2 linked regions of the Drosophila melanogaster genome follow. The protein of the gene in region 1 purifies or fractionates together with the protein of each later gene. This does not show direct contact. Each region holds a gene or a part of one and is shown in the gene's direction. Other genes may lie near its edges.

Region 1 (7,517 bases):
GCCGAGACCAAATGACATTTATTGAAATTTCATCATTAAGCGGCATAGTGGCAGAAGCCATCCACGAACTGTTTGCGAACTTTGCTGCTCATCGAACTTATTTAAATTCGAATTGTGACACGTGCGGGGAGTGGGGAGTGGATTCGAGTAGATTGTCATATCACCATCAGGTTATCGAAGAGGCGGAACACACGAAATAGCACGAAAAGAAAGCCTTGACAACCCTTTCCGCTGAAAATCTCTTTTTCTGGCAGCGCAAACAACAATTCAGTGAACTGAAAAATATCCCCAAGGAGCAGATCCAGCATTTTCAACATTTTTGCATAATTTTCAAGAGAAACTTTTCAAGTTATGCGTTAGGTGACAGAAAGCATCGTCATCCCCTCATCGAAGAATGATATGTGAGTTTATAATTCGAATGTAATATGCTTTGGCCAAATTGATGGAGACAAGGGTTGGGTTGTTGGGATCGATATAATGTGAAAATAATATTCCGATTGTGGAAGCCAAAGTTTTGGGAAAACAAATTGATGGATACGAATATGAAAGGCGTAGGGAAAATAAATGGTATGTTCTATGCAGAAACCCAATATTTTACATAAAGTGCTTGCATCTGATGGGTTCACTGAGCTCTTAACAAATTTCTTTATAATAGCGGGTTTAAATAAAGAAATCTGAACTTTACATTTTACTGGAAATAAAATGTAAATGATTAAATAAATTTAAAACTACATATTCATATGCTTACACTAACACATCTTTGGTATAAAACGTTGATAGAAAATGTTAGAAAAAATGATTTCATCTATGAACAGACGCCTAATAAATGTACCAATTATTTTATTTTTTGTGCTTCATAACTAGTATCAACATTTCTGCACTTCAAATAAAAAGAGTAACAAATATGACGAACAGAGGTGATTGCTGAGCGCCAATAAAAGTGGGATTACAATCAATTGCCCGTCGTCCCTGACTTCGCCACTTAGCCTGCGATCCCGCCCGCGTCAACCCCCTGGACCACATCAAAAGCCACCCCCGGGTGGATTCCCTTGGATTCCCTTGGAATGCTGTGGCTATATCCTCGTTCTTCGGATTTGACCAGCCTGCGGGCTCGGGCTCGTCGGTCGGTGTCTAATCAAAAATGCAATGTTTGGCTTGGTTAAGCGGAAATCGGTAGATTGCGTTCGCACAGTTTTCGCTTGTTGATATTAACACATTCCTCCCACTCCGTTCGCATCCTATGCCATCAACACCCCCACGGGCGGAGGTGGGTTAATGAAACGTCACAGATGATGACGACGTTGGCATAAGATTTCAATGATATGTCAAAACTGAGTGATGCTGATGATGGATGGGTGGTCATAACACAGTATCCTTCGTCCTAGTTACACGCGAAGAAAATCAGACACACTTGTTGAAGTTATATGATGACTTATCTCTCATCAAAATGAAGTTATTATATACTAAACTATTAATTTCATTAATTTTAAAGTTAATATATGTAGCTGTAATTTAATACATTATTTAGCATGATAAGTATTTAAGTAAATTACTTCAAATAAGACACCAATGGTAGATTTTGACTTTTTTATATTATAATACAGCTTAGCTATGTGCCTGAGAAACTGCTTACATTCTTGCACACTTTTTCTTTCAGTGCCTGCGTCCACATTCCCCTTTCTTCTGTCTTCTGCCTTCTGCGCCCCATACATCACACGCTTCCACGCATAAATTTGGAAAATTTGGGCCAACTTGAGCCGCATTTACATGGGATTTTCACGGCGGGCACAAGGGAGTAAGGGTTGCCAAAAAGTGGTGGCTTAGATGGACGTGCGACAGTGGGTGGAAACGGAAAGGGGAAGGGGGCCAAGGGCATGGGGCGCCATAAGAAGACAAACAAACCCAGCATCCGCTTGGTGGCAATTTCCGTTTTGTCACTTAACGCACATCAAATGCAATTTTCCTGGGCAAATAACATAATCATCAGGGAAAAGTAGTAGAAGGGGCGTGGTGCCCAAAACTGCTTGGCCAAGCAACCAGTGCAGGCAGTCAGGTGAAATTTTATCACACCAAAATGCTTTCAATTTGTGTTTCTATTTTCCGCCAACTCTTTTTATTTTGCGCCTCCCATATTGAAATTTGATTTGTCGCCGGCAAAGTGCAGCTGGAATACACATTCTTGTGATGGATATTTGAGCAAAACTTGCCCGAAGTGTCGACAATTGAATTTGTGCTGCTTGTGCAATTTGCGAAATTTGATGTGGCACCATTAGAAGCATCTACGTCGGTTCCCACTTGGAGTATGGCCTTCCCTGGATGGAAACCATAATTTTTAATGGCGTTTTTATATGGAGCGAAAGTGATTTTATTTAGAAGGTGTCAACACGGATGCCGCCAGAAGTGATGAGGCGAAGGAAACTCCTCGAATTTATAACCAAGCCTCTACAATGAGAAAGGAGTGGGGGGAAATGGGTTGGTTTCTCTAATATAAATTCACAGAAAATGTTATAAGTAAGATATATTCAAGATTCAACAAAAAAATTTATTGTTAAAGAATTTATTTTTATAAAAAAAACGCTTCTTTATTCAACAATCTATTTCAATACGGTTGTTTAAATGCCACAGTTTTAAGTTTTACGTTAGACTAAAATATTTAAGGTCAAAAACAATTGTAATCCTTGTATTTCTGTCTAGTAAACTAAAAAAAAATGGAAGATTTTCAGATATAGTCAAAAGTTACACTTGTAATAACCATATTATAATTTCGACTTAAAATCCTTTTGCTTAGCTTACGACTTAGAAAAAGTTTTCCAAAAGTAGCTGTGTCTTTTCAGACATATGTGAGTTAGAAAAGACATATATAGAAATAGTTTAACTGCAATAAATTTAACTCGCAGGCCCAATCATAGTGGAATTCTTTGACCTCGCGTGTTCTTTCAATTTTCATTTCCCCCGCGGCCAAACTGAAACCGGAAAGGCCAAACTAGAAAATGGGGCCAGGGAAAAGCAAAAGCAGCTTTACCAGGCAAAGGCTAAAAAGTAAACGCCTTTGGTTAGTGAAAAGTGAAAGAGCAGCGTAAACAAATACGACAGCCGCCGACTCGGGAGCAACTTACATCTGCTGATAAAGAAAACAGCAGGCATCCCATGTGAGCCATGTCCATAGGTTATAAATCGTGGTCGGGCTGCCTGGTTGGGTGGTTCCGACCTGGCTAGGTAGTTTGGTAGTTTGGTTGGATGGTGCAGCGACGTCTTTTTTAATGAAAGATGGCAACAACATCATGAGCGATAAAAGGTTGTCATTAAAATTGCAGTGGTTCTACTGGTTGCTTCATTAGAGCAGGCGCCTCTTCTTTGTCGCGGTGCAAGAGTCGGGAGCTGGGTAGCTCGTATTCCAAACTAGGTTGCCGTTTTGGGTAAATACTGTCGGGCAGAGTCATTGAATCAAGATGAAAGTGGAATTTCTAATGGAAAGACAAAAAGCAACAGCAGAAGGGCAATATCTGCAAAATTCCACGAGGCAAAAATAGGAATGAAAATTGGTAAAACATTTGCTTGGTTTTTAAAATTGCTAGATAACTTGCTGAACATTCTGCCAAAACTTAGAAACTGTAGCTAGCCATATTTTAAAAGTTAATATGAGCTTAAAATATACTGAACTATAGAACTATATGTACTGTTAACACTGATATCAGTGACTGCAGTTAAAACCAAACTGATGCTTACAATTGATTTTGGTGACTTAGATAAAACAAGAACTTTATAACATTTCATCAATTACAAAATGGGTTTTATCTTAATTATCTGTATTGTAACAAAGTCCTAAGAATATTGAATTTTTATGACATTTATTATTAATGAATTAAGGGCAAATATACAAATATCACTAGAAAAGTTTCAACCGTTTTAGAAAATATACAAAATCAGCATCTGAATAAAGTTATCCTCTTCCAGTTCAAAGTGGTTTGTGTTTTCTTAATTACCTTCCAAAAACTTGGTTTATTTTTCGTGATCAACAGCATTTTAAACTAAAACAAGCGCCTCGAGGAAGACTCCCCCTCGCCATTCCCGTCCACTGGACGAGCCAGTTCAATTGAATTGATCCGGACCATGGTGTGCGGAGATCTCTGGAAGTTGATGCGCATGTACTGCTTCCTGCGCTTCTTCCTAAAGTGCGTCTTCGTGTGGCTGAGCGTCTTCTCCACGACGGTGGCCTTCACCAAGATGAGTCCGGGCTCCAAAATGGGCCTTCCCACGAGCGTGAAGTCGCGGGCACCGGCCAGGAGCACCTTATCCAGGCTGATCTCGTCGCCTATCGTTGGCGGCCAGTATCCCTCCACCAGGATGATATCTCCTGGAGTTACTTTAAATTGCTTGCCGCACAGGTGGACAACCGCGAAGAGTCGTCCCTGCTCGGATTTTTGCACCTGCCGGTTGATGCGCTCGCAGATGCTCAGGCACTCCTTCTGCTGATCCTTAGCTATGGCCGATAAATCCACCGATTCCGTCGCCGGCTTGTTTTGCTGCCCAATTACCGGCGATATGCTCAGTGGACGCATGGCACCTACAAAAGAATGGGATTTCATTGGGACCTGGTTATGTCACATTGTTTACATCGATGCTATTTAATATTCACTTACCTGCCGTCAACAAACTGCGATTGGGCACGTGGCGTAGCATTTGACGCATAGTTTGCGCTAGAAAGGACATCGTTTGGCTTTGTTTTTAACTCAAAAGTACATAAATAAATCGGATCGGTTTAATGTCGGCAGATAGGCAAAATGTGAATAACACTAACGCGTTTTCGAACAGCTGTGTTAGCATGCGCACGTTAACATCCCTGTTACATTTTCAGAAATAGCTTGTAATAGCTAGTACGACTAAAGCTTGAAGCAACTCAATAAATAACAATAAGTTACCGCACACTTGCAGATATTTCGGAAAATGGTTTCCTTTACATTTAATTTAATCGTATTATATTTAGCGGCTTGTGTACTTGTAAAACCTAGCTGCCGCTAGCGAATGTTCTCCCACGCTGCCATCACTGACAGCATGTGCTGCGCATAACAGTGCTGTGTAATCATCGAACTTTCAACACTACTCCAAGCAGGCCGGTAATTTCATATACGAATTTTATGCTTAGCAACTTATTTAAGCCCAGTAAACAACTAGTAAGCCACTGAAAAGATCGCACAAGAGTACAACTCCCGACCAGTGATACAGTAGACAGAATCAAAAGCACAAAATGGCCGAGACCGAGAAAATCGAGGTTCGCGACGTGACTCGCATCGAGCGCATTGGCGCCCATTCGCATATCCGCGGATTGGGACTGGACGATGTGCTGGAGGCTCGTCTGGTATCCCAGGGAATGGTGGGCCAGAAGGACGCGCGCCGTGCCGCCGGCGTTGTGGTGCAGATGGTTCGCGAGGGCAAGATCGCCGGAAGATGTATCCTATTGGCCGGGGAGCCTAGTACCGGCAAAACGGCCATTGCTGTGGGAATGGCGCAGGCTCTGGGCACCGAGACCCCATTCACTAGCATGTCCGGATCGGAGATATACTCGCTGGAGATGAGCAAGACCGAGGCTCTGTCACAGGCACTGCGCAAGAGCATTGGCGTTCGCATCAAGGAGGAAACCGAGATCATCGAGGGCGAAGTGGTGGAGATCCAGATCGAACGCCCCGCCTCGGGTACCGGACAGAAGGTGGGCAAGGTCACCCTCAAGACCACCGAGATGGAAACCAACTACGATCTGGGCAACAAGATCATCGAGTGCTTCATGAAAGAGAAGATCCAGGCTGGCGATGTGATCACCATCGACAAGGCGTCCGGAAAGGTCAACAAGCTGGGTCGCAGCTTCACCAGAGCCAGGGACTACGACGCCACTGGCGCTCAGACCAGATTCGTCCAATGCCCCGAGGGTGAGCTTCAAAAACGCAAGGAGGTGGTGCACACTGTGACCCTACACGAGATCGATGTTATCAATAGTCGCACCCACGGGTTCTTGGCCCTGTTCTCCGGCGATACTGGAGAGATCAAGCAGGAGGTTCGCGATCAGATCAACAACAAGGTTCTCGAGTGGCGCGAGGAGGGCAAAGCTGAGATAAATCCGGGAGTACTCTTCATAGACGAGGTGCACATGCTGGACATTGAGTGCTTCTCCTTCCTGAATCGCGCCCTGGAGTCGGACATGGCTCCGGTGGTGGTGATGGCCACCAACCGCGGCATCACTCGTATTAGGGGCACTAACTATCGCAGTCCGCACGGCATACCCATTGATCTACTCGATCGCATGATCATCATACGCACTGTACCGTATTCCGAGAAGGAGGTTAAGGAGATCCTAAAGATTCGCTGCGAGGAGGAGGACTGCATCATGCACCCGGATGCCCTGACCATTCTTACACGCATCGCCACAGATACCAGTTTACGCTACGCCATCCAACTGATTACCACAGCCAACTTGGTCTGTCGTCGCCGCAAGGCCACCGAAGTCAATACCGAGGATGTGAAGAAGGTCTACTCGCTCTTCCTGGACGAGAATCGCTCGAGCAAGATCCTCAAGGAGTACCAGGATGACTACATGTTCAGCGAGATCACCGAGGAGGTGGAAAGGGACCCGGCCGCTGGAGGCGGGGCAAAGCGTCGCGTGGAGGGCGGCGGAGGAGATGCCCAGCCCATGGAGCACTAGAGTCTAAACTGACATCGCAGCAACCCCCCAGTACATTCTCATGACTATTTTATGATCAATAAATAAGTTTCCTTGTATCTATGATTAAATTAAATGCCTACGAATTTGGTCATGGTTTTATAACGATTGTAATTAATAAACCATTATCAGCATATGGTTTCAAAGTTTTATAATTTCGGAAAAGGATATCAAATGGCCAATTGGGGTAGTTAAATACAGCATTGGCTAAAAATAAAATCATTTTTCTTCTCATTGTAGCAAGGGAATCAAGATAGTACAAATTTTTCAATAATTAACTTAAAAATTGCGTTTAGTAGCTTGCAAAATAATAATTATAATCAATAAAACGCAGAAATGAACTTAATGCGCATGTTATTCGATTCCTACTACAATTCTCACTAATTTCTAGTTTGAGCTATCTTAGGAAATAACTAGAAAAACAGCCACGCGTCTTGTACCTAAAAATAATTTCATTGCATTTATTTCGCATTTCAATTTACTGACATTAAAACTTAGCGTGAGCATATCAAAATATATCGTCGCATCATCTTTACATTGGTATAAAACTGTCTTTATGGCTTAGTTAGTCTCCTTGAGCGCTGCTCCCCTTTCAATAAATGAAATTTGAGTTTGATTTTCAAAGACCCTGGTGTATCGTTATAGTCTCGAGTGATCTGTCTAGTTCCTAGATGAACTCAACGGGTTTATACTCTTATACAATTTACAATTCCATAATGTTTATATATATATATATATATACGACTGAGAATGTGTTCTTAGGCAAGATAAAACAATATCTTATCGCCAAAATCCACACTGCATACTA
Region 2 (11,322 bases), on another chromosome or scaffold:
TTGAAAATGGAACTTGAACGGATTACCTATATTTAACTCATACATTTTATTTGTATAATAATTCAAGCCCTTAAATCAAAATTTATTTAGAAAACACCAACATGAAAACAAATAGTGTACCATAATTAATTCAAATTCATATTTAAAGATAAAACATATTAAAGTAAAGTTATTTAAAGGTTTTAGTTATTCAAATCTCCACGATATTGTATTATATTATAGCTAAAGAACAATATAGACATACTTTTTTTTTAAGGGGAAATGCTTAAAAAAAAGTGGTATAGTTTTTATTACTTAAGGAATGTACTGTTTGTGCCTTTTACGTCTGTTTCCACTTTATTTACATTTTGTTTCGGCTTTCGATTTCAGTTTGCGTTCGGTTTCAGTTTCAGTTTTGGCTTTGTTTAATTGCCAACAAAATGATAACCGGTTCGCAGAAGCCAAGCAAAATGACAACCGACGAGCGCAGGCAAATGTCAAGGTGTTCCAAGGCAGAATACTGGCATTGTCAGCCGGTTGACACATGATAAGTGTGGACCGGATCGGATTCTGAGCAGGCTCCATAAGTGGATTAATGTTGACGGAGAACAGGCGATTATTGCAGAAATTATGCGTCCAAAGTGCGAATGATTGATCAGATCAAATAATTGATGAATGGCAAAAGCCAATCGATCGGTGGATAAGCAAGCGATAAGCAAGCAAGCCTTCCGAAAGTGTGCGCGCCAAACAAAAGACTCTGGCAACGAACCTGCTATTCTGCGGGGTGTTCGCTGTCGAGCCGCCAATCCATAGGCCATGGCGAGTATTCAACTTGCTACACTCGACAGAATGTAAAAAACGCAATAAAAATTAAAGGGTTATAAAAGCTGGAATAGTGTCTATTTGAGAGACTATGAAAATAAGCTTTATTACTATTACTTTCGAATATGAAGATACCAAACGATACCAAAGCCATAATCTTCACGTTATTTTTAATATTTAACTGTTCTCCTCATTTGCCTGCAGCTTGTCAATGAATCAGTGACATCACCGATCATCATAACCCAATCATCTCAGCCAATCAGCAGAAATGACAGAGACCAGTAATCAGCAGCCTGGCGGCGAAGATTTCAATGGCCGCCACTCGGCATCGCCGGCCCGCACCATTGATTCGCATGATTCCACCACCGGCAGCATGGATACCATTGTGGATCGCAGCCTGAATCCTGAGGAACTCCATCAGGTGGTGACCACCATCGAACATAGCACGAATACCACGAACTTGGCGGGATCGGGCGGTAGTCTGACCAACTCGCAAATCGGCATGCTTCAACGGGATGAGAATCGAAAACAGCAGGAGGACCAGGAGCAGGCGCGCCAGGATGCCCAAAGTCACATCTATTCGAGTCCTGTCTACGATGAGAAGCCGCCGGCGGTGAAACTCCTATCCGCCGCCCTAGACTTGGATGCCCAAAAATCCCAGGCAAACAATGATGACGATAATAAGCCCAATCTTATTTCGCACCAAGAGTTCAAACAACAGCTGCAGGAAGCTATTGCTTCGCGGCAACCAAACCAGGTAGGTCCTACAAAAAGTCAACCAAAATTAATCAATTTGTATCAGTTGAATCACCTAATAGGGCTAGAGAATCTTTAATTGTCCATTTCTGTACTGCCTTGCTCTCATTAATCCTCAGACAATCGAATATTGTACCAAACACATTTTTTCTTCTGTGCAGGTGAATGGCACTAAGAGTGGGGCCACCACTTTGGACTCCAGGATCAGTCGTAAACAGCGCTGTCCACCGGAATTTATTAAGTACAAGGAGGGCAGCGAGGGTGGAGGCAGTGGCTCATCGCTTTCCTCGAAAGATCGGCGCAAGCGCAAGGCGAGCAATGAATGCTGCTCGGCATTTCCACTGCAAATAGTGTTGGGCACTCTCCAGTTGCTCCTGGCCATATCGCTGGTGGCCCTGGGATCACTTCTGATCGTCCGAGAGGCAGCGCTCTCACTGGCGGGATGCGGCATCTGGACGGGATTGATAGCAGCCGTTACGGGCTCCCTTGGAGTGGTGAGCATGCGCAAAACCCAGACAGCGTTTTTGGCCCTCAGTTTGGTCTGCATCGCCAGCAGCACCCTGGCTCTGGCTATTTCCGGCGTGGGATTGTCAAGGGACCTCAACAGGATGGCGGAGCAAAAGGGTGAACAGGTAAAGCCGGGCTCTTCGCATTGAGGCATGTTTTTTTAATGGTTTCATCCATTCTAGTTCGACTTGATCGATACCAACAGCGAGGTTTCCGCTGCCTGCGGCCTAATTTTTGCCCTGTTTCTTCATTTTGTGGTCAGTATTGTATCCGTCTATCGTTGCGCCCTTCAGATTTGCACTAAGTAAGTAAGCTACTCCTACTACTCCTACTTTTATATATGAAAAGTGGTTGTTGTCCACTTTTGAAGCAATAATAATACTGAATCTATAAGCACAATGTTTTTTTTTTTATTGTTTTTAAAAGCGCTTGTACGATATCCATTAGTTTTTTACCAATTGAATTTGGAATGTTGCGGCTAATATAAGTAAGTAAGTCTGCAAAACCGTTGTATTTATTTAGCAAAGTTTCCGGAAATCAATATAAAAGGGATATAGAAATTTATAATAACGGTTTTTAGACGGTTTACACAAGATAACTTGTTTCGTGACGACGTTTTCGTAATGAATTGGTATTTTTCGCGTTTGGTATATTGCTAGACACGGTCACACGGGCCAAATCATTCTCAAATAAAACTATATTTATATGTTTTTTTTTTTTTAATTGAGTTATATAGACTTTTAAAACCGAAAGAATGTATTAAAAGTGTAAACAAAAATTTGCTGAATACGCACAGTAAAAACATCGGCTGCAAAAAGTAAATCGATGTTTTCGGAAAACTGAAACTATCGATGTAATCGATGGTAACATCGATTTTTTTGCAGCTCTAAAAAAACTTTATTGTGAATGTGTAAATAATAGTGATAAGAAGCAACACAGCTGTGCGGATTGCGAAGCGGATAGTAAAGCAGACGGCGTACGAAACGTGGGCGCATTAGGAAAGCGCTGCTTGTTGGCCGTAGGAGCAGCAGGGAAACCAGAGAAATCCGGAGAGGCAACAGCGCAGTCGACTGCGACGCCCACGCAGCGGAAGTAATAAAAAAGAAAAGTGAAATCGGAAGTAGGGAGAGTTCGGTGGAGGAGGAGCAGCAGGAGGAGTTGGAAACGCAGGGGGAACTCGGGCTCTAGCATTGTGCATCAGGATCTGGAAACAAAGGAACCGCTAGGAGCAGTTGCCTCACAACGCTAGCAGCCACCGAAGTCATGCCGCTGGCCGATTCGCAAAAGGATCTCCGCCAGCAGCCTCAGCAGCAGCAGCAGCAGCAGCATGTGTCCTCCACCAGCAGCAGCAACAATGCGGAGCAGCAATGCAGCAGCAGCGGATTGGGTCTGCAGCTGCGCCAGCGCATGCAAATTACCTCGTCCGGCTGCAGCAGCCTGGCGGTCACGCCCATGGAGCACACGCCCACCGAGGACGATGAGAGTGGCGGAGGCAACAGCGGTGTCACTTCCTCGGTGACCACTGTGACATCATCGCAACGCCGCCAGCAGCTGCAACAGGTGCAACAGCAATCTGCTCTGCAAGCGGCCCTCGAGCAGCATCACATCTCACCAACAGCAGACTTGGATTCCGCTAGGAAAAGGCCGACGCATCGAACCTTGTGCCCGCCGCCAGAACTTATGGAGCTGAGTGATTCCGAGTCCCAGGGAGGCGTGGAAACTGGCGGTAGGAGAGAAGGGGCTACTGGGCGAAGTGCACCTGATTTAGAAGACACCGAGCCCCTATATGAAACAGAAAACGAATTCGAGCTTAAGGAAGTCATCAAGGAGGGTCACGACAAGGCCGATCCTTCCCAGTTCGAGCTCCTACGGGTTCTGGGCGAAGGTAGCTTTGGAAAGGTGTTTCTAGTGCGAAAGATCATAGGCAAAGATGCAGGAACACTCTATGCCATGAAGGTGCTCAAAAAGGCCACCCTAAAAGTAAAAGATCGCGTAAGGAGCACAAATGAACGAAAAATACTAGCGGACGTGGGTCATGCTTTCATCGTACGTCTTCACTATGCCTTCCAAACTCCCGGAAAACTCTACTTGATACTGGATTTTCTTCGTGGCGGTGATCTGTTTACCCGTCTATCCAAAGAAGTAATGTTTACGGAAGAAGATGTCAAGTTCTATTTAGCGGAACTGGCGCTAGCTATGAATCACCTACACACATTGGGCATTATCTACAGGGATCTGAAACCGGAAAATATTCTACTGGACGAGCATGGCCATATAGCCTTGACGGACTTTGGTCTATCCAAGCAGCCTTTGGATGGCTCAAAAACATATAGCTTTTGTGGAACCGTAGAATACATGGCGCCGGAGATCGTGAACCGAAAGGGACACGATTTTGCCGCTGATTGGTGGAGTTTCGGGGTGCTCATGTACGAAATGTTAACGGGGAATTTACCCTTTCATGGCCAAACCCGCCAAGAGACTATGAATCAGATCCTTAGAAGTAAGCTGGGCATGCCGGAGAATTTGTCGCCAGAGGCGCAATCCCTGCTACGTGCTCTCTTCAAAAGAAACCCCCAGAATCGTTTGGGTGCGGGTGCCCAAGGAATTCTGGACATCAAGGCGCACTGCTTTTTTGCCACCATCGACTGGGTGAGATTAGAACGAAAGCAGGTGCGTCCGCCTTTCATACCGGCGGTTAGCCGTGACGATGCCTTTTACTTTGATGTGGAGTACACCTCAAAGTCCCCCAGGGATTCTCCGGGTGGCCCGATCTCCGCATCTGCCCATGAGATCTTCCGCGGGTTCAGCTTTGTGGCTCCTGTCCTTCTGGAAGGTCAGTGTGCTGGCTCGAATATGTGCTCCACCAGCGCCAGTCCTCTGCATAGTATAGCTCCTATTCCTGCTGCTCCAGTGGGAGCCCCTCGAACATTACCTGGTGTTCTTCCCGGAAACTTCCATGCGGAATATAATCTACTGCAAGAACTGGGACGTGGAACCTTTTCAGTTTGTCGGTTGTGCGAGCATCGAGCCTCCAAGAAACATTACGCAGTAAAAGTAATCGAAAAGGCAGCTGTGGCCGCAGCATCCACATCCACTTCTGCCGATTGTTGGGAGGAGGTGGAGATTATGCTGAGGTACGGCAACCACCCAAATATCGTCACTCTGTACTCTGTTTACGAGGATGCGGGGTCCGCATATCTTGTGATGGAGCTGCTTAAGGGTGGCGAGCTTCTCGATCGGATACTTGCCGTGGGCCAGATGTGCGAGAGTGAGGCCAGCGCGGTGTTAAGGACAATTGCATCTGCGGTAGCATATCTCCATGAACATGGCGTGGTCCATCGAGATCTTAAGCCTTCAAATATGATATATGCCAGTATGCGGCAAACTCCCGAGACCCTAAAGCTCTGCGATTTGGGTGAGTGCGGAGCGGAACTAGTTAAATATATTTTATTATAGCCTTGCAGTAAATTTTCCAATTGCTGACAAACATGATTCACTTTAAAAGCTAAACTTTCGTAATTTTTAATTCCTTTAACTATTATTTGTTTTCTAAGTTACTTTGTTATTTGCAATTTTAAAGGTTTCTTTTCTCCAAACAGAAGGTTTTTCATTTTAAGATCTTATTTAGCCAAAGTTCCATCCTATTGCAATTGAAATCATTTGATAATATTTAAATTCAGAAAGCATTTATTTCTGCAAGGCTATATATTTTTCTGTGCGAGTATTTCTTGTTGGTAGAGCAGGAGTAACCTTCCGATTTCCGCTTAGGTTTCGCGAAGCAGCTGCGCGCGGACAACGGCCTCCTGATGACGCCATGCTACACAGCCAATTTTGTGGCTCCCGAGGTTCTAAAGAGACAGGGCTATGACCTGGCTTGCGACATCTGGTCGCTCGGTGTGCTGCTTTACATCATGTTATCCGGCCGGACGCCTTTCGCCAGCACTCCAAATGATTCACCGGACGTAATACTGAAGCGCATCGGATCAGGACAAATTGACTTCACAAGCAGTCGCTGGGCACTGATCAGTGTGCCGGCCAAAGAACTTTTGCGTCAGATGCTACACATAGTACCGGAGAATCGGCCGACGGCGGCGCGAATACTTGAGCACGACTGGCTGCGGGAGCAATTCGCCGGCGGCGTACAGCTTACAGAGTATGCGGTGGCGCCCGGATCCCAACTTTCGCTGGGCGCCCAGCAGCAGCAGCAGAATCACATCTCCATGGCCTTAAGAGGCGCTGTTGATGCCACTTTCCGGGCTATTGCCATACCCCAGGCGGCGAATGTGGGACCCGTAGAACTTTCCATGCTCGCCAAGAGGCGGGCCAAAGATCGAGCCAACCTGCACTCCTAATCCTGGGCGGCTGCATGGTGTCCGCGGCGCCAGGCCAAGCGGCAGATAGTCCGACTACTTTTCCGAATCTATAGTATTCTAATCCAATGCTGCTGTGCCAATCCGCGTCGTCTTGTCAAGGACAATGCGCAGAAGCTTGGTTCACATCCACAAACGCTGGGCAATCCTCGCCAACGCTGCCGCAGCGCCAAGCTGCGTGTGGTTTAGGTTTTGGGGGAATCGGCCTAACCTAAAGTATTTGACAAGTGTTAATTATTTATTTTATATGAAAGCATGCCAATATGCCAAGGCCATAACGCACTGTGCGGGGCATCTATATACACATATATATAACTATACAAATACTGATATACATCTATATATAGCTATTTATATAACGAATCCTAAAGCAAGGGCCTAGAGAGCGCGTGTGAATGTGGCGCCAGGATCATCCCAGATGATTCCTGAAACCACATTATTTATCCCAAACTGGAAATTAAAAAAAAGCCTCTCGCCCAAGTTTACATATTTTTAATTAAATTAATCGTAGCTAAATTTTTCAACATCACCGTGTTATTGTTGCTTAATTAAATTAATTAAAATGAAAAAAAAAATGGAAAAAAGTATTAGCAAAACAAACAAAAATTAAGAATAAAAGCCGCAATCCTTTTATATAATAATAACTTTTTTCGCCAAACTATAAAGGAAGAACAAAGAACCCAAAAAAAACTGTGTAGAAAGATAAGAAAATCAAACCACAAGAGTTTCCACAATTCTTACTTGGAATGTCAATTTGCACAATGAAATATGAAACTAAGCAAAAGATAAACATAACTACCATATTATACAGAATGTGTACATAAAGCGGAAACTGTGCTTTTCGGGTTTATAAGGCAAAGGATATTAGAAAAGAGTATTTTATTAATAATTCCCTAAACAATAAAAACCGACGTTCTTTCCAACACTGCACAAGGGTGCATATTGTTATTTAATTGTAATTAAGAAACGTAAATCCTGCTAACTTGTCTTACAGTCGCGAAACGCACAGTTTAGTTGTAATAACGCCGGGGAAACAGTTGTGACAACATCAAATTGGGTTTCCATTTTGTTTGCTAACGTCTTCCAACAGAAATTATATCAAACAATATACCTTTTTGCGCTGTAACCAGATATAGAAAGTTCCGACTTACCATTGGATGATTTAGAACCGAAACCGCGATATATTCCATCATACTCGTACTGAATACAAATAGGATAGCGTCGTATAAACGACTTGGGTTAATGCAGAGAATTCCATTTGTTTGTGCTAGTTTCTCTAAAAACTGCACGATCATCAGTTCCCAACAACTTGTTTCGACTCTTCGAAGACAATTCCAATTTTGTTGTATTTTTGCCAAGGAAAACTTGTTAAAATTATGCTAGAGGGAAATATACAAAAAAAAAAAAAGAAAATACAAGCAAAGTGGAACGAAATTGAATAAATTATGTAGAAGAGCCATGTGAATCCTTAGAAGCTATGTATGCCACTTGAAAAGCAGAAGTTTCTTGTTTGCGAGCTTGTGTGTGTGCATAAGAGGCTGTGTGTGTGCTTCTTGTAAGTGCATGTGTGTGTGTGCTAAAGGATTATTGTGCTGTGCCACTACTGAACTTACTGCTACCAAAAATAAAACAATAACTTCATATACATATTTACACCACCTAAACAAGGTTAGTAAAACTTAGAAATTTTTTAAAAAAGGATAACATCCCTTGAATAAAACTGTATTTTCGTGGTGTTATTAAAAGGAGTTGGAGGGGGAAAATGGTATGATTATCCTAAAGTACATATATAATTAGCTAGCTGCGGAGGGAAAACAATGTGTACACATTGACATATAATATAGAAAATATTTAAGAAGGATCTTGAGATGAACATTTCGCCTAATAGTTGTCACGATAAACTTTTGCAAAATATGTTGCGTCTACAGCAATGATTTATACTTAATTACCTTGTTTTGAAATGACGACAACCAAATTGAAGGGATACGTCGTTTCCCTGCTTCGTTTTTTAACAGATTCATACACAAATTATAAAACGAAGTTGAGACAGGCAGAAAAAGAATTTTAGTCCACGGGCTGATGAGAAATCTAATCCAGCGATTAGATTAAAACTCATGTATACAAAAGTGGCCTACTATGATAAAAACTGTAATCATTTATCAATAATTCCGAACGGTCTCTTACAAAAATGTTCGGGTTGCACAAAAAGGACAGAGACAACAGATAGTTTAAGCATACAATACAAGCAACCCACTTTAAAGCCAACTCTCGACTAAATTCCCCAAGAACATACATATATATCTTAATCATATATATGAATGCGTGAATATATTTTCTTAGTAGATTTTAACAGCTTCCAGACTATACATACATTCAAATGATTGAATTCCGATATGAATCATTTAATTAATAAACATATTCAACGAAACTGATTCGAAATTATTGTTAAGTTGAATTTTTCAAACCAAGCAGAAGGAACCTAATTGAAAAACAAATAACCAATTCGAATTGTTTCGATCTAATTGGGATATCCAAAATACATTTATAATGTCGTATAAGACAGCAAGTGAATCATTTTCATTATTTCGCTCGATTTTTATCTTTCAATATAAGGATCTGTACCAAAATGGTTTAGGAACACTCTTCGGCTGTTTATAGAGTAAACAAAAATTACCTGCCTTTAAAAAATGTATTCATCCAAATATTAACTTCAAATCAAACGACATTCCTAATGTTAAACATAAAAACATAACATTTTAAAATATAATATAATGCACTGAAATTTCGCTTCTACAGAATAGAACGTTAACAGAACTGATCAGGATTTAAACATTTTCTGGGCGCTACTGATAACAAAACGAAGGAATCCAAAAGTAATCTGTATTGGCATACAGCAGAGTGTTAAGCGACATTTAAAAGTTATTCAAGCCTTTCTTATCGCTTGTGTTTCTTATCAGTTGCCCCAATAATTCTCTGGTCTGTTAGTTTAGTTAACAATATTTGTAATTATATTTTATATTAATAGTTGGCTTATGTTATACGCAGCTTAAATTACTTTTTATGCTTTCATTTGGAATCATAAGGTTTTTATTTGCGTTATTGAAAATATCGCCTCCGTTACTATTGGGCTTTGTTCGTCATTCAATCTTTTAGGATAAAATAAATACACTTCATTGCCGCAAATTATTGTACAGTTTCATTAAGTTGACATGCGTTTCTGTTTTGTTTGTTTGGGGGCGTACATAAGCAAATTATGTAAACTTTGAATGTTTTGAATTTGTCCTTTCGTGTGGAGTGTAAAAACAAATATAGATGTGCCCATTTCAGCCGCATCCATATCCGTTCGAATATTGCTTAGTCTAATTACGACTAATGTATCGGCCTGGGTGGCATTACCTTCGTCCTAGTGCTTGCCTTTGCCCTTGCGACCCTTCTGTTGTTGTTGTTGTTGTTGTTGCTGCTGCTGCTGTGACTGCTGTCTCGTCGTGGACGCCTCTTTGTCCTTATCATTAACGTTCTCCTTGCTGGATTCGCCTTCTAAAAAGTAAAATTGGGTTAGGCATTGATTTCATTTAGGGGGAAATTTTCTATAAAAAATTATGATAACTACAAAATCATAGTTCTATATAGCTTAGTTGATGTTTTAATATAGAAATATTTAGTTAACGTTGGTTCTTCATAAACAAAACTTTTTCTTTAGATTTTATTTTCGTAAAAGAAAACACATTATAATAGCGAGTATATGTGAGGAAGAAGAAGAACTATTGTTTATGGGTTAGCTTGGAAGTTTTTGCTCACCCGCTGAATCCGCGTTCTGAATGTGAACTTGCTCCAGTGAAGGGGTCAGCTCTACCACCAGGGTTTCGTCGAGTGTCCCGTCCAGCCGCCTTGGAACTTTCGTTTGATTGTGAGAAGTCCTGGCCTCATGAACAACCACTTCGCCTTCCTCTTCCTCTTCAACCACGTGAGCTTCCTCGGCAATCACGCCATTGAGCACGTTGACCGCTTCCTGCGCCATATGGGCCTGGGCCTGGCGGCGACGATGTTCGAGATCTCGTTTGTAGTTTTGCGTCCACTCCACGTGCTCTTTGTAATACTGGCAAACCGGGATAACAATCACCGAGATGTCATCAACAGTGGCTGCAGCCTTGCTATCTGCGAGTCGCCAATGCCCGGAGTCGTTGATTTTGCCACGAGCACGGGCCACCAGCTCCTGGGCGACCATCGTGTAACGATGTTTCTCCGTTGAATATTTGGAGAGCGTCTGGAAGACGGTGCGTGAAACGGCGTCATTTTCGGACACATCCCACAGGCCATCGGTGGCCATGACGAGCACTCCGTAGTCGCCATCCCGGTTGTCCTCATCCGGAATTGAAACCACCTGTGTCAGATCCCGCTGCCTGACATCGGGGTGAGGCGTGAGAAATGGTTTTATCTGAATACCTGTGTTGATGGCTAGCAGCTCGTGATCGCCAAAGCCGCGCGTGACCCCCAACGTACCCAGCAAGCGACTTCTTTTTCCCTCGCCATTGACCACCGGCATGCAGAGGTCTTCCATGGTCAAAGTTTTGTATGTCCAGCCACGCATGGTGCCCTGTCGGCAGAGAATGCGCTGGCCCATGTCCTTGATATGCGGCCGCTTTGCGTACTCCATGGCCACATAATGCTTCCCCATGAGGTGAGGCTTCAATCTGGCCACATTCAGCAGGCGTTCGCGCTCAGTTTCAGGCGTGTGATCCGCCGAGAATGGCACTGGATAACAGCTAGCTTCTAAGGGATCCGGCTCAATCCCGGAGTCAGTATTTGTTTGTGGCCTCTCGGGGGTGGCACGCCGCTGGCAGAGCACAGCTCTGGAGTCGCCGGCATTGGCCACATACATCTTGCCATC

Evidence for each region.
Region 2: the proteins of rept (region 1) and S6kII purify together in Drosophila melanogaster (affinity purification with western blotting, with the first as the bait; one study listed by BioGRID). This does not show direct contact.

The regions. Positions count from the first base shown.
Region 1 is NT_037436.4:19,250,270-19,257,786, forward strand, and holds rept (reptin), read left to right. Parts: upstream 1-5,070; 5' UTR 5,071-5,245; coding exon 5,246-6,691; 3' UTR 6,692-6,842; downstream 6,843-7,517. Other genes in the region: mRpL21 (mitochondrial ribosomal protein L21), read right to left, coding at 4,029-4,564, 4,641-4,710. UniProt on the Drosophila melanogaster protein: Acts as a transcriptional coactivator in Wg signaling caused by altered arm signaling. Pont and rept interfere antagonistically with nuclear arm signaling function, and are required to enhance or reduce arm activity, respectively.
Region 2 is NC_004354.4:22,527,024-22,538,345, forward strand, and holds S6kII (ribosomal protein S6 kinase II), read left to right. Parts: upstream 1-2,940; 5' UTR 2,941-3,327; coding exon 3,328-5,479; intron 5,480-5,832; coding exon 5,833-6,416; 3' UTR 6,417-9,348; downstream 9,349-11,322. Other genes in the region: CG17600 (uncharacterized protein), read left to right, coding at 1,070-1,558, 1,719-2,189, 2,247-2,368; CG17598 (uncharacterized protein), read right to left, coding at 9,838-9,971, 10,233-11,322.